Linked DNA regions of Schizosaccharomyces pombe. The gene in region 2 interacts genetically with the main gene of each other region. Each region holds a gene or a part of one and is shown on either strand. Other genes may lie near its edges. The genes, in order: SPOM_SPAC1B3.08, SPOM_SPAC4H3.06 and dbl8.

The links.
Region 1: mutations in SPOM_SPAC4H3.06 (region 2) and SPOM_SPAC1B3.08 together harm fitness less than expected from each alone (positive genetic interaction), as found in Schizosaccharomyces pombe (one large-scale study listed by BioGRID).
Region 3: mutations in SPOM_SPAC4H3.06 (region 2) and dbl8 together harm fitness more than expected from each alone (negative genetic interaction), as found in Schizosaccharomyces pombe (one large-scale study listed by BioGRID).

What each region holds. Positions count from the first base shown.
Region 1 is NC_003424.3:4,940,840-4,947,210, reverse strand, and holds SPOM_SPAC1B3.08 (hypothetical protein), read right to left. Parts: upstream 4,668-6,371; 5' UTR 4,536-4,667; coding exon 3,264-4,535; 3' UTR 2,984-3,263; downstream 1-2,983. Other genes in the region: protein Hrd302, read left to right, coding at 1-1,121; noc202 (Noc2-Noc3 complex subunit), read left to right, coding at 1,397-2,983; Cytochrome c oxidase assembly factor Coa3, read right to left, coding at 4,776-4,985; ESCRT I complex subunit Vps28, read left to right, coding at 5,775-6,371.
Region 2 is NC_003424.3:3,834,188-3,841,332, forward strand, and holds SPOM_SPAC4H3.06 (uncharacterized protein), read left to right. Parts: upstream 1-3,247; 5' UTR 3,248-3,261; coding exon 3,262-3,332; exon of another isoform or gene 3,333-3,380; coding exon 3,381-3,564; intron 3,565-3,623; coding exon 3,624-3,703; intron 3,704-3,752; coding exon 3,753-3,813; 3' UTR 3,814-4,525; coding exon of another isoform or gene 4,526-4,583; 3' UTR 4,584-4,649; coding exon of another isoform or gene 4,650-4,869; 3' UTR 4,870-4,918; coding exon of another isoform or gene 4,919-4,970; 3' UTR 4,971-5,094; coding exon of another isoform or gene 5,095-5,193; 3' UTR 5,194-5,439; downstream 5,440-7,145. Other genes in the region: srs2 (UvrD subfamily ATP-dependent DNA helicase), read left to right, coding at 1-1,406; SPOM_SPAC4H3.16 (uncharacterized protein), read right to left, coding at 1,440-1,485, 1,532-1,739, 1,780-1,849; thiosulfate sulfurtransferase Rdl2, read right to left, coding at 4,526-4,583, 4,650-4,869, 4,919-4,970, 5,095-5,193.
Region 3 is NC_003423.3:2,555,490-2,565,942, forward strand, and holds dbl8 (ATP-dependent RNA helicase Dbl8), read right to left. Parts: upstream 7,681-10,453; 5' UTR 7,639-7,680; coding exon 1,804-7,638; 3' UTR 1,661-1,803; downstream 1-1,660. Other genes in the region: tri1 (CAF1 family ribonuclease), read right to left, coding at 175-1,458; guanyl-nucleotide exchange factor Muk1, read right to left, coding at 8,437-9,259, 9,308-9,693.

The DNA.
Region 1 (6,371 bases), 1.1 Mb from region 2:
ACGGGATGTATAAGTATCCAAGGAATTACACTGTTTCCGATGTATTATTTCGCAAGGTTTCAAGACAATACTGGCCATACACTTCAGAAAATAGTGTGTTAGCTAACACTCCACAGAGCATAATTTCCTTGGCCGCTCAATCTTGTGGATATTTAGGACTTTTACATCTATTTGATAAAGGTCCTTTATTCGATATAGACAAAGCATACTGGTGGTTTAAAAGAGGTGCAACGAAAAACGATTCCAATTCTTATTACGGTTTAGGTTACATGGCTTATCACGGTTTAACTTCCAACGGCGTTGATCGAGAAAAAGGAATGAGACTAATAAATTTAGCTGTAATGAATGAAAATCCCCATGCACTTATGTTTCTTGGCCTCATTCGTCTTGAAGAAGCGCGTTATGAAGAGGCGTATCACCTCTTTTTAAGAGCTGCTACTCAAAAAAGTGTCATCTCTTACAAATATTTAGCTGATTGTTATTATAATGGAACTGGAACTAGTCGATCAATGATAAGTGCCTCTTTATACTATAAAAAGTTTGTGGAAGCAATACGAGCTTCTGCAACCTCGATGGCTATAGCTTTAGAAGAAATAGACGAATATGGATATTTTCATAATTCTTTCGTCTATTACTTATATGCCGCTCAAATGGGATATGCCCTAGCTGAAATTAATGCAGCATATTTGATGGATGAGAATAAGTTTCTAATTAACTCAGTATTCCGCTACTTTAACTATACCCAATCTGAGCAGGAGGCTGCTCATGATAAATTTGCGTATGAGTTTTACTCTCGTGCTGCCGCTCAGGGTGATATTGATGCCATTTTTAAACTGGGTGATTATTACTACTATGGAATTGGCACCCCTAAAGACTACTCTAAAGCATATACATGTTACAAAATTGCTTATGAGCAAAGCTCAATCGGTATGGGCCTTTGGAACATGGCATATATGCACGAATACGGAATAGGACGAGATCAAGATATTTATATTGCTAGACGATTGCTGGATGAGCTATCTTCTAACCAAAACTCTTACTTCCCTTTAAAAGTTGCCATTTTTTGGATCAATATTCACCAACTTTATATTAAATTACTGAAACTACTTCGTTTACGGTAAGTATTTTTTATCTAAATCGCATGAATATGCTTCACAAGTGCCAATATAGCTATCGTTATATGCATGATCAGCTGCTTGAAGGAGCACATATTTTTAATCCTACAGTCAAAATATTCCAATTCACTTTTCAAATACCATAAAAGCTGCTAATTTTTGAGAAATCCTTGCACTGTTACCCGTGTTACTCAACCTGAATTTCTCACACATTTACAGCGAAGTGAATTTACTACTACGTTCATCTGCAATTGAACTGGTGTTTTTGTTTTCTCGGGGAAATGGGTAAAGCTTCCAAGGCTACAAAAAAGTTTACTAAAAACCACCTAAAAAATACTATCGAGCGGAGAAAGCAGTTAGCTCGTTCAAAAAAAGTTTACGGCACAAAAAATCGAAATTCACATACAAAAAATAAACTGGAAAGTGGAACAAATGATAACAATAAAAACAAAGAAGATCTTTCTAAACTATATTCAGATGTAACGACCTCTAATACATCGCATGAGAAAGACGGATCAGAAGATATTTCGGTTCTTAATGTAAACTCCAAGGGCGCTTCTTTAAATCAAGTTTCTACTCAAAAAAGACGGAGTGAAAAGGATTTACTTGCTGCTATTGCATATTGTCAGAAATTATCGGGGACCAATCAAGCAGATGCGTTGTGGAAAAATGTTGAAAAGGACTTAAAGGAGACTTTGGACAACGTGGATTTTGACGCTAGGTCAAAGATTCTTCAGGACCTTCGTTTAGAGTATGCCGAGATTTTATTAACAAAATTTAATTTTGAGAAAAAGGGATATCAAAATTTGTCTTCGGCCCTTGATACTATACTTCACATAAAAAAATTTTCTAAATTTCCCAATGGTCTGGTTACACAGCTATGTAATATTTTTGTTAATCATTCTAAAGCTCGGGAAGATATTCAAAAAGCAGTTAATCATATTTGCAAAATTGATTCGTCGTTGAGTGTGGCAGTTTTTCAAGTATTTTACTCGCCTTTGTTGGACTTTTTTAAGTCTTCTCCCAGTGAAGTTAACGATTTCGATACCCTTGAAGAGCTTCAACTGTTCTTGATTGAACTTCTTTCTCTTAACTCACGGTTTTATCAAAAAATTGCCTTCGCTTATCTCTCCCAATTGGATGCTCATTTGAAGCGCTGCTTGAAGGAGTCTGAAAGCAGTGATGCATACAAATTAATATACAATTGGCAATTTACGCTTTCGCTGAGATTTTGGTTACATGTTATATCATTTTTATGGAATGATTATGAATCAATCTCCAAAGAAATTTCTCCAATCGCCATAAACCTGACGCTGGATTGCATTCGTTTAATTCCTACGGAGCAATATTACCCATTACGTCTCCATCTTTTAAAGTCACTTGTTAATATTTGCAGATCTACCCGCCTTTACATCCCCCTGTCTTCTCAGTTTTTAGAAATGATCCCATTTGTTCTTAGGAGATCGAGTCCTTTGTCTGATGATAAGGAAGTAATGTATAACTTTGACATGTATTCTACTCTTCATGTGCCTAAAGAATGTTTGTTGTCAAAATCTTATCGTAACAATGTCAGAAAAGAAGTCATTTTGCTAATGACTGAATATTTTGCCATATTTTCCAATTCAATTGCCTTTCCAGAGCTCTCTGCTCCCATAATCGCACAACTTCGTGGACTGGTAAATGAATCCGCACCGGGGAAGCATGTTTTAACATTCTTGAACAAACTTGAAAGCACTTTTTCTTTTGTTGAAAGCAGAAGGATGAACGTAGATTTTACTCTCAATGACACATCTCAAGTAGAAGCTTTCGAGAAGGACTTGGATTGGAGGTCTACTCCAATGGGTAAACTAGTCAGTGATACTACCTAAGAAGGTTCTTTAAATTGACTTTAAAAAAATTTTTATTGTACAAACGAAAAAAGTAAACACTTTTGTCTGGTGGAGATTAAGGATATAAATAAGCATTGTATATCTACATGATTTTCAGTTAACTTACTATAGAGATCAAAAACGGACGAATTAATTAAATTAATAAACGTTCTAATCATTCATAAGATTAGTAATAGAGTTTAAAAATAGCGTAAACGCTGTAGTTTTAAATTTTTTGCCGCATCGACAAATCTTAACGTATTTTTCATAATGGACATAACTAGGTAGAGACATTTTTGGGAAACGGATCCTTGGCGGACAAAACCACAGTTTCGAAGTTACGAGATATATATCCTCTCATGTATCCTTTGCTAATCATATTGGCCAAAATAGCTTCTACATGCAGTTTGGGTAAATCAGTACCGGCAACTTGAAGGGCTATCTGAAATACAGAAACAGGTAAACGAGTAGATTTCCCACAGATGATCCAAGTCTTACGAAAAAGATTTCGAATACACAAATCTCTTGTGCCCTCTAGGGTGAGGTAAATTTTGGTTTTTGCAAGCAAGGTTTCGTTTTTTTGCAAACATTTTCCAAATTCACCTAAATTACCGGATTTTAGTGCTCTAGTCAAAGGAATATAGACAGAAGCCAGATTGGGAAATTTAGAGAGTAAATTTTTTGTGGGTAGCTGATGATTTACTAAAATGCGAGTTGGAATCCAATACGAAAGAATTAATTCCAAGTTGCGATTGTAACCTTTGTGACATAAGGAAAAGGCAATCTCTAGCTCAGCTGAGGCATTTTTGTAATTTTGGTTTAAAAAGGCAACAATTCCAAGGTAATAATGAAAAATTACGACGTGAGACTTAGGGAAAAGGGAAATGTCAGGAAGTTCCACAACTTTCATGGCACGCAGAACATTGTTGGTCAAATGCACACAATCTAGTCTTAAGTAAAGTTTAAACAACAAACCCATAATATAATAAGCTCCCCATTTACGTGACGTCGACAGAGGAGCTCGATCATTGATACAGATGGTAAATGCACGATTAATCAGCCTAGCGGTTGCTTCAAGTTGTTCATTTTCTTCCGACTCATCAACCGAAATTACTTTCAACTGCTGTTTGCGGCGAAGCATTGCATTATGTGCATTGATAGCCAAAAATCGTAGATCCTTACATACTATAAACAATACTGGTAAATGAACACCGGTACATCTGCCGGATGAGAATTCACGATATAGATGCTGTGCGAGTTCAGTCTGTTGTTTAAAGGCGGCTGCAGGATCATGGTCACGAACTAAGTACAGCAAAACTTGTAAATGCAAAAGTACAATGTCTGTCCAGTTTTTTGAAATTGATCTTTCTACAGTAAGTTTCAAAACATCGTCAGACGAATATGTTCCAGGAATATCAAAGTTCAGCACTGAGGTTAGCGTTTTCCCCCAAGGAATTGATAAATTTTTCGCTAGTAGGACACTATTAGATCGCGCAACAGCTGAATTAATGGTTGAGAAATAAACGTTTAAAGGTAAAGGCCTCTCACTCATAGTTGTCATAAATCAGAAGCGCCCTTTAAGCAGGTCGGTACCAAAAAAAAGGAAGGGAAAGGGAAGATGTAAAAATCGGGCTTTAAAGGGTCCACAAGCACCGTTTGTGTTTTCGCCAGTGTGCTCTGTCTCAATACCAACGACACCGTCGTGTGCGCGCTCTTGAACGCTGCCCACGAGAGGTAACGATGTCACTTGTACTAGCAAAAGCCAAAAATGGGTGAATCAAGATGAACACTTTCAATTCTTTTTTGAGAGATCTCGATCCTCCGCAATTTTTTTTTCCAATTCAGGAGTCATTACTACGTCTTCAAAAGTATCTTCGTGAACTCGGTAGACCGAATATGCAAAGGTCGCGAAGGCAAACGCGCCAAGACCTAGGGCCGTAATCAAATTAGCCCTGCGAAATGGTTTTCTTGCATTTTCAAAAGCTTGATTACCCTGGTTCATAATATAATGGTTCAGAAAAGCAACCTAGTCGTACTGAAATGTGCTTTGTAAAGGGAAACTAATAATTATGTCAATGCGATCACATTTGTTCAATGGCTGCGTTAAGCAACGATATACAAATATCACATTGTTGCGAAATTCTTAGAGACAACTTTAATGTAAGCTACGCAGTTTGGTATCTGATTTAAGGATACGTAGAACTGCGGTGAGTTTTCCTTGTGATCTATTATATTACAATACACAGGTTGTATAAGTAGCAACTGAGTATAGGTATTGTATTAACTGGGTTATAATGTTACCTATCACTAATATAGCTCATAACTGAACTGAGGAACGAGGTTCAGCAGTAGCTCTATTTATAGTATTCAGATAATATTGATCTTAATAGATTATCATTAAGATCAATCTCCATATCGTATCATACATGGTACGATATATAATTAGAACATGTGACATATAGTGATACTCAACGTAGTGTATTATAGCGTAGTGTAGTATTGCTGACATTTAATAGCGATTTGCACCAGTACGTTAACTTGGCTAATTGTTGGATAGAGAAGTGCAATATTTGATGCATTATGTGTTTTCAAAATGAGAACGATGGACGACTGTGCGACAGTGTGAAACATCTAGCTCTCAATTTATTCCAATGTAATAAGTCATTCATTACATTGATTTATAATTGATTTTTTCCCAATTGTAATTAATTAATTATATATTCGAAGCTAGTTTATAACTTTGAAAGATTGAAGGACAATTAGACATCTGTTTCTTCAGTTTATTAATGCTATGACTGAATACTACGATCTGAACCTTTTAGAAAAGGAAACTTCAGAAGAAAACAATTTTCATACTAAAAATCAACAGGTACGTGAAGATTTAAGTATTCTTTACAGTATTTTGGTGGCATTAGAGCAATTGGAGAAAGCTTTTACGAAAGACGCCGTGTCTACTTCTGATTTCAATTCTACCTGTGAACTTTTGATACAACAATGGGAGTCTTGCTTTAGTGACGAAAGAGTTACTCAGGCTTTTGGCTCATTTGAAGACTTCTGTTCAAAGTATCGACTGCAATGCCCAAGAGCAATCAAGAGAATTCAAGAGGGGATATCGGACGAAAGATCTCAGTCCAATTCCACCTTTTCCAATGCAATATCTACAACTGCAGAACCTTCAATTGCTATGAATGATACTACTCCACAAACTGTTAATCCAACAAAGGCTCCATCCAACCCATCTGCTTCCATTGCGAAATCAATTGCCGGTTTGGTACAAAATTTCATTACTACTCTAGATGCCATTAGACTTAACTTTATTGCCAAAGACCAGCTACATCCTTTGTTGTCGGAATTGATTGTAAGCATGGATGATTTAACGGAGAGCCTA
Region 2 (7,145 bases):
CTAACAAAGATTCGACTTCTTTAATTCGTGTCATCAATGTCCCTCCTAGAAATATTGGCAAAACAAAAATCGACCGTATTATTTTCGAAAGTGAAAGAAGAGGATTGACCTTTTGGCAAACTTTAAATGAAGTAAAGAATGAAAATATTTTACTTTCTCAAAGAAATGACAAGAGTTTTCTAAAGTCTTTAAAGTCTTTTCTTTGTTCAATCTCCAAACTTGAAAATCGTTACTTGTCTAATGGGCACTCAGCAACTCTTAGTGATTTACTTTTGGGAATACTTTCTGAGATTAAATATTACGAATACCTGGTTCGGAAAAATAAAGAAACTGTCGAAGAAAAATGGGAAAATGTAATGGAGCTTGTACAACAAAGCGATAACATATCTTGTATATTCTATGAATTAGATTACAAAATATCAACAATTGTTCTATTGCAGAATTTTTTGACTCAAATCGCTCTTGTGAATGAAGAACAGAAAGAGGGCGAATCTCAGAAGGTTACCATTTCAACCCTTCACGCAGCTAAGGGTTTAGAGTGGCCTGTTGTATTTTTACCTTGTCTTTGTGAAAATATTATCCCTCATTCTCGTTCAGACGACCTCGACGAGGAAAGAAGGCTGCTATATGTCGGTGCCACACGTGCACAGGCGCTACTGTATCTATCTTCCTTTAAAAGCGTCACTGGAATGTTTGCAGATATGCAGAACTCAGACAATGTACAGGACGTCAGTCCATTTTTAAAAGGAGAAGAAATGAAAAGATGGGTGATGGAAAGTGAAATAGTTTTTAATGAAAAGATTGCTTCTGAAATTGGAACCATATTGGGTCGGAAATCTTATGGGAAAATAACTAATTTAAGCGGTATTGGTTCAAATGCAAATCATAACGGAACTAAATTCGAAAACTTGGGCTTCCAATGCTGTCGTGTTCTAGCTGAGGCAGAATTGAAAAAGAGAGAACGAGTCAAAAGTGTCAATGACTATAATAAAGATGAAACAAATTTTAGAAAACATAATGCCAAGAGATCGAAAACCGATATACGAAGTTGGTTTGAGAAAAAACAACCAATCGATTCAGATGTAGAGATTTCTGAGCCGTCAAGGTCCGCAAGCATAATGGTTGCAAATAAAGATTTAAATGATCGAAGTTTTGAAACTGTCAATCGTATTGTATCGACAAGAGCCTCAACGACAAACGCTTCTTTCATGAGCAGCGTCAGACAAAATCTTGGTAGAGGTCCTTCTACGAAAGATCAGGTAATAAATAGAACGTTGAGGGAAGGTCACCAAGATGTTGTGCAACATACTGACCTTAATCAATCAAATACTAAGGTCGCGAGTGCCCGTCCTGCTGGTTCGAGAAAACGATTGGGTGTAAGGCTACGAGTTTCACGAATGTTATAGTCATATCATGTTGTACAAAATCACGTATTATATTTATAGACAATCTAAACACCTTGCTACGGTGTTTTCTTTAAAATACCTACATATAATGTCAGCTTGAAAATAGATACAGATAATAAACTTACATTAGAGTACTACAGTTTCGACAAATATTTCGTTGGCAGCGATCACATGTAGAAAGATATAATACGTTATCACAAAATTCGCAAACACCGGTAGATGAAGGCAGATGGTCATTGTCAGTAACAAAATTAACCTTTTCATTTAAAACGATAGAAGAGGCATCATGGGCATTACTTTTTTTGCTTGCAAACAAACTAAGAAAAGATCTCACTTAGAAGCTTAGTAAAAAATCGCTAAATTCTTCACTTACTATCCAAATGATTTTTACACTTCTTTCTTGGTAACCTACTAGGAACATGTTCAGAACGACATCTTTTCATAGCTAAATCTCGGATACTTCGAGTTTCAAAAAAATGTGACACGTTGTTCTACCCTCTTAAAGCCTTATCGAGGTGTTGTTTTGTTTTTGTGGAACGCGGACTAGATGGCTAGTGCATGGTCTAATGGACTGTACAGGAATGGTCAAATAGGCGATACTTCTTGTCAAAATATAGCACTAAATGCATTTTTGAACCCTGTATATATTCGAAAAAAATACAAATCGTCCTTATTAATACATTTCGTAAGTCAAAATGAAATTGCTGAAATGAATGTGTTAAGGTAAAGCAAATATAGCTAGATTAAGGCTCATTTAAACTTAAATTGAGTAATATTTTCTTAATGTTTTTACATTTATCAGTAAGTGCTCCTTCGAAATGCCTTGTCCAGCTCATTGAAATTCATGGGTCATACCTTCAAAGGCTGAAGTATGAAATCAGGAAGGATTCACTGAAATAAAGAAGTCTTTCTGATGTCTGATTTGAGTATACGATAAACAAATGTGAATGTGCAGATATGAACAGTATAAACCATAGAAAGCCATGTCAAAGCCGAGGAGATACAGATGTTCTACATAGATTTGCAGACAATCCTCCTAGATATTCTATGAGAAAGGAGAGGAAACCTTGGTTTTGCAGCTTCTATATGGAAAGTACAGAGGGGTTGTCTTGCTTAACCAAAGTAAGAAAGAGGCAATCAGAGAAGATAGCCTACAGAAAATTATAATTCTCAATCAATTTATTTAAGGTAAAAACCTCTTATACTTCTGATTCTTTTAGTGCTGCTATTTAATCTGTAATTATACATTATGTCTCCATGTTTGACCAGACTGAACAATTCACAATTTAGTAGGATCTCAAATGTTATTCGGGAAATAGTTGATGGTATTGAACTATAGGATATTAATAAAGTTGTCACGTGTAGACGTATATTAACTTGTCAAAGATTGTTTGAACATTGTGAATAGCAAAATGGATTAGTTATTACAGTAGGCTTTTCAGTAGGTACACACGACGTAGACATATGTTTTAATAGATATTTTCCATCAAAAAGAATTAGGTCTATTAACACGCTCTTTTCTAATAGACCTCTTAAATGTCATTCACTTGAAGTTTGTACTTGTAAATCAAAACATTGGAAACCTGATAAATTGGACAGTTAATTAATTAATTATTCAATCCTTTTCATTATAGAAAACGTTTTTTCTGAATCTTTTTTGCTATAGTATACGCTGTGTTAGAATATGATTCAATTACTTAATAACGACTATATTTTGTAACAATAACTATAAATAATAAGAGTCATATTACTATAAGTATGTTATGTCGAAGGAAAATTACAAACAGTTTTACTTGATTGCAAAGGTGGACTATATATCTGAGACAATTAACTCTTAATGTATCATTTACCAGATATGGAGGAAACTGTAAATAAAATATTGCGAGCTCAAGAAACGAGAGCTCAGTTATACAAAGAACTGGAGGAGTAAGTATTTTCAAAGATATATAAATAAAATAGGTCTAACAAAGGTAGTGCTCTCAATGCAAATCAAGAGAAAAAAATTGGACTTGAGCAAATGGGCATAATTGTTCAACTGGTGACTGAAGGTTTAAATGAAGTTTCTTCTGATATTCGAAACTATCAAGCATCTCTTACTAAGGAGCTTAAACTATTGGTGGATTCTTTACAGGAAAAAGAGCGCTCTAAGCTACAAGCGGTAAATTTTTTTTCATAAATCTTTCTATGCAAGTTACTTACAATGTATAATATTTGCAGACCGTCAAACTTGAGCAGTTAAAAGTTGTTTCTACTAATTCACCAGTTGAGAATACGCAAATTTCAGAATTGGAAGCTAGGTAAATTGAAAATTGAATTATCCAGATATAACTAACAAATAATTATTAGACTTTCTTCACTTTCTAAAGAAATCAACGATATCTTACAAAATATGAAGGATGAAATATGAAGAAAATTGGTTTAATTACTATGGCATATCCAAGTTTTCTCTTTAGCAAGAGTAACATTATGAAGTATGATTCTGAATTTTCTTAAATTTAGAGAAAGTAAAAATTCTACATTAGAAATTTAGGGGACAGTCAGTTCAAAGGTCTCCTTTCTAATCATACTTGTAATTGAGATTGTAACATTCAGTGCAAAAGAAAAAAATGTTATTCGCGTTTTGAGCAAACCGGCAAGGTATGAATAGTATTCTTCAAGCCTTTAAATGTCAAAAACCCATCAATTTTAATTCCACCTGGTTGTTCGAAAACTAATTTCTTAGAGTTATCTTTAACACGTGCTTGAACTGTATTCCCTAGTTTAATTGAATTTGGAGGTGTTCTTTCTAAACCCGGAATTAACTACAATGACTGTCTCAAAATATATTTTCCCATATTAATAGCTTCCAATGTATTTACAGCTTTACCCTTTCGTCGAAGTCTTTGACAATAGAAATGCGAAGGAATAAATCGCTTGAGTAAGTAACTTATCATAGTTCAATTCACCTTATTGTTACATTGCAGTAAAATTGTTTTTGTTTTCTAAGTACACCTTACTTATCATCTAAAAATGGTGAGCAAGCATACGATGCATGCATTCAACTCTAGAAACTTAAACTACATATAAAACTAAAAGGTAACGTAATGGGTGAGAAGGCTGGAAAGCGTTCGAGTCTACCCTCACTTAGACTTAATTTTGTCGGACCACTCAAGCCATGAGCCAGTGTAGTTTCCAATACTAAAAGGTTAGTTTTTGAACACTGTTCTCGAAATTAAGTGGAATTGTTCACCTATACAAACATACTTTTTATAGCCGAGTTTGGTGAGAATGTCAGAAGCGGTCGTACTTCTTCTACCAGAGCGACAGTAAACTACAACGTTGTCCTCAAAAACGGGTTTGCTGAATCCATAAGTCTTGGAAAACTCCTCGTCACTAAGTTTCATGGCTTCCTCGATTTTTCCAACAGGTAAATTATAAGAAGTTTCGATTGCACCTTGCTTAAATTCATCGGGCTCACGAACGTCTGACATGTTAGCAGAATAAGTTTTAACTCACTATTGTATTGTCCTTACCAATTAAAACGGTGGATTTGTCGCCAGTTGGTCTTTTACTAAGGTTATAAACCTATTTCAAGTTAGTACCGTTAATAATTCCAAAATACTTGGAGAGTAGAGTAGCGAAGTGTAAAACTTAGCTTTAACCAGAAAACATCGCATATGAAAGCAAACGTATTCCTATGTTGGTTTACCTTTTCGAAATCAAAGATGCTGACATTCTTAACTACTGTAGAACTGTAGAAAGAGCGGGTCATCAGGAGGCGAGATACGGAAAGAGTTTTAGAAAACATTATGGGTGAAAACAAGGTTTATTACAGCTAGATGGCCCCTTTCAGCAGGCAGGTTAAATCTCAGATTCCCACAGTTGACGGTAGTGGTATAAGCGTGATCGGTGAGTAGTATGATTATATGAACGATCGCTATTACGAAATCGGCAGGTTTGAAGTGTTATAGGGGCTTGTGTTCAGAGGAATCAATAAATGAAATGGATCTTTGTATTTTCGAGATTTTTCAATAATATTTTTCTTTTTTAAAACGGTAGTTTTTAAAGTTACTATTCAAGAAAAGAGCGATTCATCCATCGGGAAAAATGAAGTTGCCGCATTTTCTATGTTTCACTTTTAAACAATTACATATTCAGTATATAAGTTCATAGAATAGAACTGTACGTACGTCTTTGGCACAGTTCTTTAAAATTGCGGATCTTTAATTGTGTATATTACTATATGGAGGTAGCATATGGATTTACCAAAAAGCATTTTATGGATAATTTGTTATTCATAAAATTATGTTTGTTGGAAATACACTGACAGAAACAAGCACTCTAATTTTCAATTGAGCTACAGTTGTTTGTTTTATCATTAGGAGAAAACAGGAATTCATACGACGCTGATTTATATAGATGTATACGTAAGTTTATTTATTTATTTTTTCTCGTCGGGCCTGAAATGCACTGTACTGTAATGTCATGGCATGCTTCAATGCTAATGTAATAGGAAAAAAATCACAGTACACAAATTTTTATGAGTGCTGATATTCTCGCAATGGAGAAACGCTAGGTTTAACGTAAGCATGATGTTTAAATTTGCCAGTACAATTAGAAAACAGGTTGTAAGTCCACCTTTGATATTAGGTCACAGTTCAAATCACTTTTGATTGTATTGCACATGATATTACGTTTACTAAGATTTCGCATCAATTTTAATATTGCAAGTTCTAAGGTAGCAGCATATTATTGAAAATTGAAATTTCAAATGGAAAAGTGATTCACATGCGTCCATTAAAATATAAAAAATAAAAAAAGAAATTTATATCTAGAATAAATTATTGTTTCTTTTAGCGGCAGAAAAACTAGTAGTAAAAATTTTATGCCAATAAATAAATATATAAAATAATGAACCTAAATAATCATATTGGCAATGTTTTCCAATTCAATCATCCGAAATGAATGATTGCAATGGATGAAGGAAAATAAAAACTTGTAAAAATGAAGGTCAGTAAGATTCAGTGTTTAAGATACCTCTCTGGTTTACAATCTTTTATGGACAAATATATGAACGGTTAATTCGATACAGTTCATCTGTTTCACTCGAATACTCAATATAATTTATTTACAATTCACCCATTAAATTAATATTTACCTTATTCATTCGCTTTCATTAATTTCATTCATTCACTTAGTCCCTTATTGTACCAACCTTGTCGCTCGGTACCGAATACAACAGTCGGCGGTTGATCATAGCTAACTAGTGCTAATAGCTAATTTCCTTAAGCAGACTTTTAATCCAACTGTGAATACCAATTACGTACTGTTTTGATTTAGTTAATATTTTCTTCCTCTTTTTTTTTTGCGCTTTTTTTCCATCGAAATCAAATATTATGAAGAATGACTTACTTCATAATTGCGATACCCGAAAACATCACTGATAAAGAGGGGATATCATATTAAAGAGTGAATACCGGTTAGGTCTTAGTTGATTCTTTGGATGTTGGATTGAGGTTTAGCTTGAAATGATGGTTGTCTTTCGTTTCAATTCACCTTTACAACATTTAATTTTTTTTTTAATGATCCATGATCACAATGCCATAATTTACGAAATCCTGGATTACGAGACTCCTGATCGAGCCGCAACTGCTGAATACAAGCGAACCTTGAATCGCAGGCGGATGAAGTATAAAGTTAACTCATATCAATTAAAGAGATTGCAAAGCGGCGGAACACCGTTCCCACGCTTCTAGTACT
Region 3 (10,453 bases), on a different chromosome or scaffold from region 2:
CCTCATTGAAACTTATCTAACATTTTTCCAATAACATCCTTTGACAATTTTATTAGTCACATACCATTCTTGCATATAATCCATGAGTTTGTAATCAGCCACCTGTACTATTGTAATCTCCATAGGGTTTATATAACCTTTGAATATTTTAGAAGATTATTCGCTTCAATTCAATCAACTGCAATATTTATTTAGGTCAAGAAAACTACCGTGAATTGGAAGAACATTTTGCCATCGCTGTATATCCGAGTGTTTTGTTCTCATAACGTAGTAAACAAATAGTAGAGCAGTGTCGTATGAATCTTTTCCTGCTTCATGTGGGCGTTTTCTGCTCATCATTGACTTATATGGACATTCAATCAGCGAATTTAAAGAAACATTTGACCTTTGAGATGAGGAGTTAGAAGGTACTGGCGGTAGAGATATCTTTGAAACTAAGGAAAGTAAGTCCGTTGGTATCCCATCTGATACATGTTGAAGATCATCGGATTTCAAGTAGAGAAGTTTAGTGTCATATATAGATTTGAAAGATGATAAACAAAGCTCAGAAAACTCTAATATCGTTTCCGGGACTTTTCCTTCAAAAAGGGAAAACAAATACACCAAATCTGCCATGCCATTGTGACAAACTACTGACTTTTTTTTCTTAAGTATATAGTCCCATAAATGTCGCAACCCAACATTCTGTTTGATCAAATTTAGATTGTTAAGTATTAATTGGTCGCTCGCAATATCTTCTTTGAGTTCGCTTTTTGAAGTGGCAGAGCATTGAGTTGTCGAATTTTCAATAGCCTTCCGAACCTGCAGAAATGTTCTTTTGGGGTAACTCTTTAAAGTTGGAAATTCAATTTTAACCAGGGATTGTATTGCTTTTCTTATAAAACGATTAGAGGTAGTAATGTTCAAGTATTTTGAAGTGGAATGTGACAACTCGCTCGATAACCAATTCTTAATTTGATTTCTTGCGTCAACAAGAATTTCTTCATCGCAAGCATCTAAAATTGAGCTGGTCAAGTCGTCAGTTGATCTTTCATTAACCTTGTCGATCAAATTTCTTTCTTCAATCCGTGATAAGTATGGTACACCCTCTGTCAGTTGTTTATTAAAATCAAAACCTTGTTGTATCAGAAACTTAATACTGCTAGCCTCCGAGCAGAAGTCTCTCTTAAGGTGCAATTCATCTTTAACTAGAGGACTTACGTTAATATTTACGGGAATACACGAAGATTTTCCATTGTTTTGCAAATAAATAAAGGTTATACCAATTTGTAAAATTGTGTATCGTATACTACTTTTTCTCAGTAACTCATATCTGTCTTGTAAAGTATTTTTGTTGTTAAGGTTGAAGTCTCTTAATAATCCGGAAAATTCACAATCAATGGAAACATAGTGTGCTGAATCTACGTGTTTCTCCAATTCTTTTAATGTCTCTAAAAAGTTTTTGCCATGTATCTCCATCTATAGATTCAATGTATTTTGTAGAACTCAATTGAACATGCACTGATAATATGCTAATTTATAGCATATTTTGGAAGCTAATTAATAATGAAATTGTGAGTATGAGCTAATACAAGTTTGATATAATCCTAACACAAACATATAGAATATACTGGTGCATTTGTCCTGTTTATATATACCATTGAGTAAAAATTAATATAGTGTTGTTGTAAGCAAAATCATTTTTAGATAGGAGAAATATTAATAAATAAACTATGTCTAAGATTCAAATGATTGAAAACGTCCCGCTACTCGTGTTATTAAAAAAGTAATACTGTAAAATACTCATACTAAAACCTAAATCGGCTACTTCCTTTTGAAATGCTCAACTTTTGGAGGTGCAAAACCGTGGGCCATCGCCGCCAGAGCAAGTTTCGATTTGGGCTTTTTTGATTTTTTCATATGGCCTTTATCTTTATTTTTTTCCACATAACCCGGCTTTTTGGAAGACGCTTGTTCAATTTCAGATTCGTCTATTTTGTTTAACACATCTTGCTTGGAACTGGATGATTCATCAAGGCGTGGTTTCGTGACCTTATTATCAGCAGCAGTCTGATCAGTGGAAACTTTGTTCTTAGCGCGCTTATTCGGTATATCTTCATCTCTCTCAGTTCCTCTTGACAAATTAGCACTATCTATATTGTGCCGTTTTTTGACTTTATGTGCTTCTTGTTTTTCCTCACAGATACCAACCGACGGCGACTTAATTGGGGTATCCCGTGAGGCTAAATTTAAATTGTTAGATGCGAGGTGTGTCGAAACGTTTGATATACTTTTTGAGTTCTTAAATTGATTAGCACTCAAGTCTCTCCAAACACCACGAGTTTTTGCGTCTTCAATCAAGCTATAAAAAATATCCTCTTGCATTAGCGGTTTAGAATTGCCTACGATATACAAAGATGATTTAGCTCTTGTTAAAGCTACATTAAGCCGACGAAGATCTTGAAGGAAACCGATTCCACCGCTCATCGAACTCCTAACGCAAGAAAAAATTATAATGTCCTTTTCCTGTCCCTGAAACCCATCGACGGTATGAATATCAAGATGCTTGAATATAATGGAACCATACTTTCTTTGAAATTGTGATCGAAGCTGTTGTACTTGACTTCTATAAGGGGTAACAACTCCAATTTTCCCCTCAAAATCAATGTTTAGATAACATTGAATTAGCCTCTCATATAATAATAAAATAAACGAAGCCTCTTCCACATTGTACAGAGACTTTGAGTTGGAAAAAGCTTCCGTCCCGTGAACATTAAAAAATCGATAAATACCTAGCTGCGGATCCTCGTGCCAAGGTCGAGATGTCACTGCTGACATATTGGGACCGTCAAGTAGTTTTGAATTATAGAAAAACTTGCTGGGAAATCGGCTAATTTCAGGATTCATTCTATACTGTATGCTAAGAAGACAAGCGCTCTCATTATGCTGTTTGAACATTCTGACATATAGAGATTGTGAATATCCAAACTTTGCAGAGGTTTTTGATAGCACAGTAGGAGGAAGCTGATTCGGATCACCAACCATTACACAGCTCTCACAGCCATACTTAAGAGGTATGATTGAACTTAATTCAACGGCTTGTGCAGCTTCATCAATTATGACAGTTCGAAAAGTCAAACCCGCATTTAAAAGTAGTTCATGACCACTCGCAGATAAGGTAGCACATACAATATCAGCTTCCTGAAGTAGTTGATTTTGTATTTGTTTTTTCAAAACATCCAGATTACGATTAGTTGAGCGTTGACGTTCTCTCATATCATCAAGGCTCTGTTCAAGCATGTTTTTCTGTTTGGTAATCTCACGAAGCTGTGCTTCCAATATTGAACTATTTTTTCCAGTACTACGAAACTTTTCTAGATCTTCGCGTAAAGAGTCCCTTTTTTTAATAATTGAGTCATATTTTTTCCGAGTATCACTGGAATTGTTTGCTTCTTGATCTTTCTTTAGGTTCGTAAGTTCCATTTGCTTTATCATTTGCTCTTCCAAAGTAAATTCTTTAGCGTGAACGCTTATGGAGTCACCAAATCCAACACGAATAACTTTTGGAAAAAATTTGATACCCTCATGATCGTAAACACCGGCTTTGATACGAAGGAGAATTTCATCTATGGCTGCATTACTAGGAGCGCATATTAAAATCTTATTCTTTGAGGTTTTTCGCGTCTGTCCTGGGACATTAAATTGCAACCCTTGACTAGAAGAAGTAAGTACAGCTCCAATCATGCCTAGAATGGTTTTAGTTTTTCCAGTTCCAGGAGGCCCTTGAATGAGCGTAAAACCATCATTTACAGAAGATGCATAAATCGCATATGCCTGGGGTTCATTTACACCATAAGACTTCATTATTTTTTGCTTTTTGTCATCTGTAAAATTTGAAGGTAGACGCGTTACATTGGCATCCAGAATTCTCTGAGACAATGGTAAATGGCGAAGAGATTTTAAAGCAGCAAATTCACGTAAGCTAGTAGTAGCATTAAATAATTTTTGTGCTGTGAACCTAATGTTCGGTGCATACTCCTGTAGATCAATTGATTCAATATTCATCCGCAGACAGAGTTCAAGTGATTCTTTTTTACGAGAAATGGATTGAATTTTGCACAACTGAAAAGATTTTGGGTTATTAGTATCGCCCGAACTTTGTGATTTTGACAGTAAGCAAATATCTGTATCACTTAAAAAAGAGACTTCGGTAGGTGAACAGGACGTAAAGTAAATATCGACAAAGTTATCAACTGTACTGCGGGTGTTGAGGATTAAATCTATGGGAGGGTATTGCTTTTCTTCAACGGCACTTTTCACTTGAGCCCAACATTCATGAAACAACATTGGTTTGAAAACTTTCTCATAAGCGTTTGAATCATTATACGTGAATTTAGCTTGGACGCACTGCATCTCAACATTAGACGCCGAAAAAGAATCAGCTAATGGGTTCCAACCCAAAATTACTTTGTAAAACTCTTGAACATCAGGGTTTAGCCGGAGTCGAGCAAGTTGTGCACTTTGTTGAGTATTACGGCGCAATTGAGTAGGATGAACTACATTTTTTGTTTTAAGGGAATCAAAGTCCAAGAACTGAATCTGCCTTCTTTGTGGAAGAGATTTAGAGGCATGAGAATTAGCTTCACGTGCAAGCGAGAATAGACCGTTACTAGACTCTTCTTCGGACTCCGAGGTATCTTCATCGGAAGTTGAAGTATTTTTGTCATCTGGATTAGAATAACTTTTAGAAGTGTGCAAAAGTGAAGGCTTGCGAATTGGGTCAGCAGAATCGAGCTTTTGCAAAGCTTTTGGTATATGATTATCCGAATTAAGTTTCTCAGAAAGATGGTTCCCCGCACTGGTTCTTGGAACTTTCGCGGATTCGCGAATTCGCTGTGTTGTCTCTTGTTTAGATTTCAAAAAATTTAAATTTTGAGATTTTTGAGCATTTCTATTGATGGCTTTAGAAGCAGAAATAGCCTTCGGAGGAAGCAAAAAATGATTTGAAGTACTAATGTTTGACTCAGGTAATTTTTTCGCAATCCCAATAGTCTGGTCTTTAGAAAGCAAACCCCGATCATCACTCTGTAACTTAGTTTCAAGCGTATTGGTATCATTGAAAGGAGAGTGATTAAGAACGTCTTCTGAAAGGTATGGTGTGAGCGATATAAAAAGATCCTCTCTCTCAGTGAATGTAAGAATTGTTTGTTCATCACTGGTAATTGATGCCCTATGGATAATATCAATCACATTTTGACTAATTGGACACTCCAACTTTTTACAAATTTTAAGCATTTTACAAATCACTTTCACAACGGATGTTAGAAGTGAAGAATCAGTTAACTTAAGCCAATAAGATACAGTAACCAAAGAATCAGCTATACACATAGCTAAAGCACTGCCCTTATCATTAGCCGAAACAATTTTAATATCGTTATCCGATAATCCAAAAATGAATCCGTTAACTTCCTCAAAAATATTAATGAGCATATCGCAAAAATCAAGGGTATCCCGCATTAAATCAACTAAATTGTCCTTATCATGAACTGGCCAAGTAGGAAGAACAATGAAAAAATGAGTAAAGAATTTCCATAACGATTCCCAGAAATTCTTAAGGGATTCTTTCTTTTCCACTTGTTTTGCAAAAGTCGCATCCTTAGAAGTTAAGCCATCAACAGAGTCAAAAATAGTGTTTATAATTAATTTATTAAAATAAACAATGTGCTTGGCTCCTCCAAAGTTTCTGACTTTAAGCCACTGCAGAAGAACATAACATGAAGAATTTAGTGTATTTGAAAACTGGCTTCTCAATAGCTCTCCTATAGTATCAACAACGCTGTCAGAAAGCGAAATAGATTTAATAATTGAGATACTTCCTGTTGAGATCTCAAGAATTGGAGAAAAAACGAGTGAAAAGATTCCACGAAAAGTTAAAGGATTTGAAACCAATTGGGTTTGTGCCGACAAATGCCAACATTGAGTCTGAATAAGCATTTCAGAAAATGTTGCAACAAATCCGTTTAGTGCATTTTCGAAATCACTTTTGAACGGAATGTCAACTTTCTTAGGCGGCAACTTATCAATCAAGCAAACTGTAGAGCAAGCACGAAAAACAATACGAACCATAAAGAACTTCTCCTCTCGAAATACGTTTTGCAAATATACCCAAAAATTTTTAAAAGACTCACTTACCGATTTGATATTCAAGGGTGGCTTTCTATTTCTGTCCAAATAATGGCAATAGAATTGCTTCAAAATATAAAGATCTAAATTCAATCGGTATTCAAAAACTTTCTTAATAAGCCTCCATTCAACAGACTCTTCATTTTCCAAGTTTAGCAAACGAAACAGCTCGTCAAACTTAATCGCTAAAGTGGAATGTAATTCAAATACTTTGTTTTGTAAACTTTGATCACTATGGGGGAAAATCATAAAATATTCGGAAAACAAAACTGAAAATATGTCAGCAAGTGATTGAAGTAACTGAACATTTTTGAAACCGACTTCCAGTTCCTTTTTATATTGCATGGTGTAATTAATCAAAATTTTGTTAATTAATTCAACTTCATCAATGATTGAAATTGTCTTCAAAAGAGAGGTAGCCCATTCAAACGGATTCTCTGCCTTTTGGTCGTTTGAAAAATTGGATGTATTTTCTTCTGTCCACCTCTTATAAGCATTACCATTAAAAATTTTATCTATTACTTCACTGGGAGAAATTTCTGGCGTCCAAAAATTACGTCCATAGCAGTATAACAAAGAATGTAAACATACAAGGAAAGACGGACATAAATTAGTATGGTCGCTTTGCAATCCCGAAAGAATAAAATCGGCGACATTGAAATTTTTTCCTGTAAGTCCCCTAAAATAAAGATGATCAACATGCTTTAACAGCAACGATAAACCTTTCAGAAAAATTTGCATCTCGTTCTCATTTTCTTTCTTCTGGTCTAAAGAACGAATTTCCTGAAGAAGGGGACCCTCAAGGATTTTAAATTCATTATCGGAGATTGTTTTTACATCACTTAAAATACTGCAAGCCCATCTTCGGAGCTCATCATCTCTCGAGAAGAGAAGACTTATGACACCTGGCACTAGGTTTTTCGAGAGCCGAAGAAAACCGGACTCAAGAAATCTGTTTCGGAACAAGGGAAAGATTTCTTTATTATGTAAAATACGAGGAGAGTATAAGATTTCGTAGAAGGCGCATAGTATAGGTTTAGAGGCCGAGGACGTGTCGATTTTAGGCACTGTTTTGAGAACTTCCTGTAACCGAAAAATGTCCCAACTATAAATTTTCTCCATTACAATCTCAAGAGTATTTGGGTCAAAGTGAAAAATGTTTAAACATAGACTTTTGAAATCATCTAAAGATTGGTGATATTTAACTATACATTTGGGGCATAACTGAAGGCGTTCGTTCAAATGTTTTTTGAACCATACCAGATACTCGTTATCATTTTGAAAAGAAAATAGAAAAAGACATTCACGAACTGCTACTTGTAATTTAGGATCACAAACCCAATGAGGGTTTTGTCTGTTAGTATTTAGGTATGAAAGCGCCAAATGCAAAACTTTATTGGACCCTTCGAAAGATGGGTGTTTTTGATTTTCCTGAATTTTTCTTATTAATCTATCAAAAGCCTCGTCATTTTCCATAACCACAAGCTAATGCTGCATTCTCACTCTCGAAGTAGACTTATTAAAGCGCGACTGCAATTTTTCAAAATCTAGGTTTCTAAGGAAGTAAATTACACTATTCACTATAAACATTTAGTGCAACCAATCATTTGATGTCCACACAGCACTCGATTATCGCATTGAAATAAAATAGCCTTAAGAGAAATTTTAAATAAAAAAATGAACGTATATTTTGAAAGTGTATATAAATTCATGTACCAAAATCACGCTTCTTTATTGTAATTAAGATATATATGATTATCCGAAATATATTTTAAACATTACTATATATAATGTGACAACTTAAAAAACTTTCTTACCCATTATAATCCGAAGTTTGTGATTGTGTGTTTAATTCCTAGTTTCAAATATGACTATTTTCTTCACTGAGCAAAGAATCACAGTTCATTTTATTCAGTATATTTAAAAATTTTGCAGTAACATGATATATTCGTTTCATATATTTCCTTTGTAAGGATTTAATTCGCATGCAATCTTTGCGTCAACATACAAGCTTAAATCATTTTTGCTAGTTCTTTGTGATATTCATACATTAATAAAATAGACGTCAAGGAATAATCAATCCTTGTTTTGAATAAAAATTTTCTTTTAAACTTTTAAGCTGTTCACGAATTGACCTGCAACAAAGAAAAAAAAAATATTGATCAATCATATAACTTTTCTATATGACTTTGTCTCTCAAATGAATCAAATAACCATAAACAAAGCCGAAAACCAACTGGATGTGAAATTTTTAAAGAAAATATTCAGTCAAAATTACTGATTACCATTTTTCTCAAAAAGCAAACGTGCGAGGCGCTTATAGTCAGAAAGAAGAAGTTCAATTTCACCGATTTTAAGATCGCTAGCATCAGAAACAGTCAAAAAGCGTTCCAAAGGTGGGTCGCCCACGAATTCTACAGAATTGGAAGAATCTTCTGAACTTTTGGCAGTGTGATTGGCTACTTTACTAAGTAGAGAGGCATAAGATTTCTCAAGTGCTAGTCCCAGATTTCTTAAATTAGATAAAGATGAGCGATTCACAGGGTAGGGTTCTGCACTCGGATCATGAAGCGAGTTAGAGGTCGAAACTGTTTCGCTATTAGCTACCTCAAGTGAAAGAGGATCATCAGAGGGTTGAATTGACGATTGAGTTAAAAGATTTGGACAAGCTCGAAGAATAAAAGTAAGGGCTGCCTCAAAAGTTGTGAGACAGTATCTTTGCTCTCCGCTTAAAAAATCTGCATTTCGAAAGCGTAACACAAAATTCAGGTGCGATATTAAATGAAATCCGGGATAACAGAGAATGCAATATATGGTCAAATTTAATAAAGAATCAGCATTCAATTCTTCTTGAGGAAGTTGAGAGGCATTCAATATACTTGAATTAACGGTCATAAAAGTGTTTATTTTCGATCTAGGTGTGTGTTGCTCATCGAGAGCAAAAAATGCTTCAGAGACTTCATGTAACCGGTTTGTAAGTTTTTCATCATCAGGTATTGGAATGCAATTGATAAGTTCTTTCTTTTCTTCAGAAGCAATAAATTTTTTTAACAAGTCATCTTTGGCAGCATCCGTACTTGTAGATAAACAGAAAATCCTAACACAATATTAGTAAACAGTTATTGTAGGCGAAGTAATCACATACCGATCATACAAATATTCGCAAACTATATCTTCAATTTGGTCCATCCATTCATCTTTTTGGTTCAGCAAGTGTTGTCTCGCCTTTTTCTGAGCATCTATTTCCTCAGGAAACAAAAGAGGCACATTTTGATCTTTTGAAGAGGGTTGAGGGATAAGGGTTGAAGCAATAAACTCATCGGTATGCTTGTAAAAGTTTTGAAATGCTTTTGCTAGTTCTTCAGGCGAAAGCAATTGAGGGTGAACCGGACTAACTAGAGAAGAGATAAACTGTATCACACATGCTTGTACAGTAGTTGGAAGATTTGATGCAGAATTTGGGAGTTTGATGTCTTCTTCCTTAGGCTTATTTGTATATTTAACAGCTCTCCAAGAATTCAGAAAGCTCATCGAAAGGAACTTTTACGAAAGGTGATCAAAAAGTTTAATTTTCAAAAATAAAATTAAACGAAAAAAAATTCTATATATACATGTAACTAAGAATATGTTAGCATAGGGTCTAATTCAAATTTTCAAATTTATATCAGATAGGATAAACAGCAATCGAAGGAACCGAGTACGAAGTATTCGTTGAGAGTCAAAAATATAACAATATATCCCTAATAGAAAATATACATCGTTTTAAAGCTATAAATGCTAGCAATTCCTTCTTTACCTTTGTCGTATGACAAGTTTTCAAGTAATTGTCAAAATATAGAGACACGAATTAAAAAAATAAGAACGTTGATTAAGAACTTGATATAAAATGAAATAATAATCAGAGGTAATGCTTACTTGACTTTAACTTATAAACCCTTCAAAATAGAGGAACAGTGCTGGTAGAACCAAAATTGATATGCATTCATGTTTCGGCATAATAATAGCGTATACTCGTTAAGAAACCGTATACTGTAAATGTAAATAATAGGATGAGTAAATTTAAGTGCTAAAAAAAATAATTTAGAATTATAGATTCATTAATTCCTTTAACAATTAAGATGATCGGAATGTTAGTTTGTACGTTATTTGTATCGAAGATGAAGTTTAATACTTATATAGATTACAATAAACTAATCAATACTTGAAAGCAATTGTTCACTGTACGATATTGTTGAATAATTTGGCAAGAATAAGCATTTAATTTGATGATATATTTTACTTTTTCAAACTT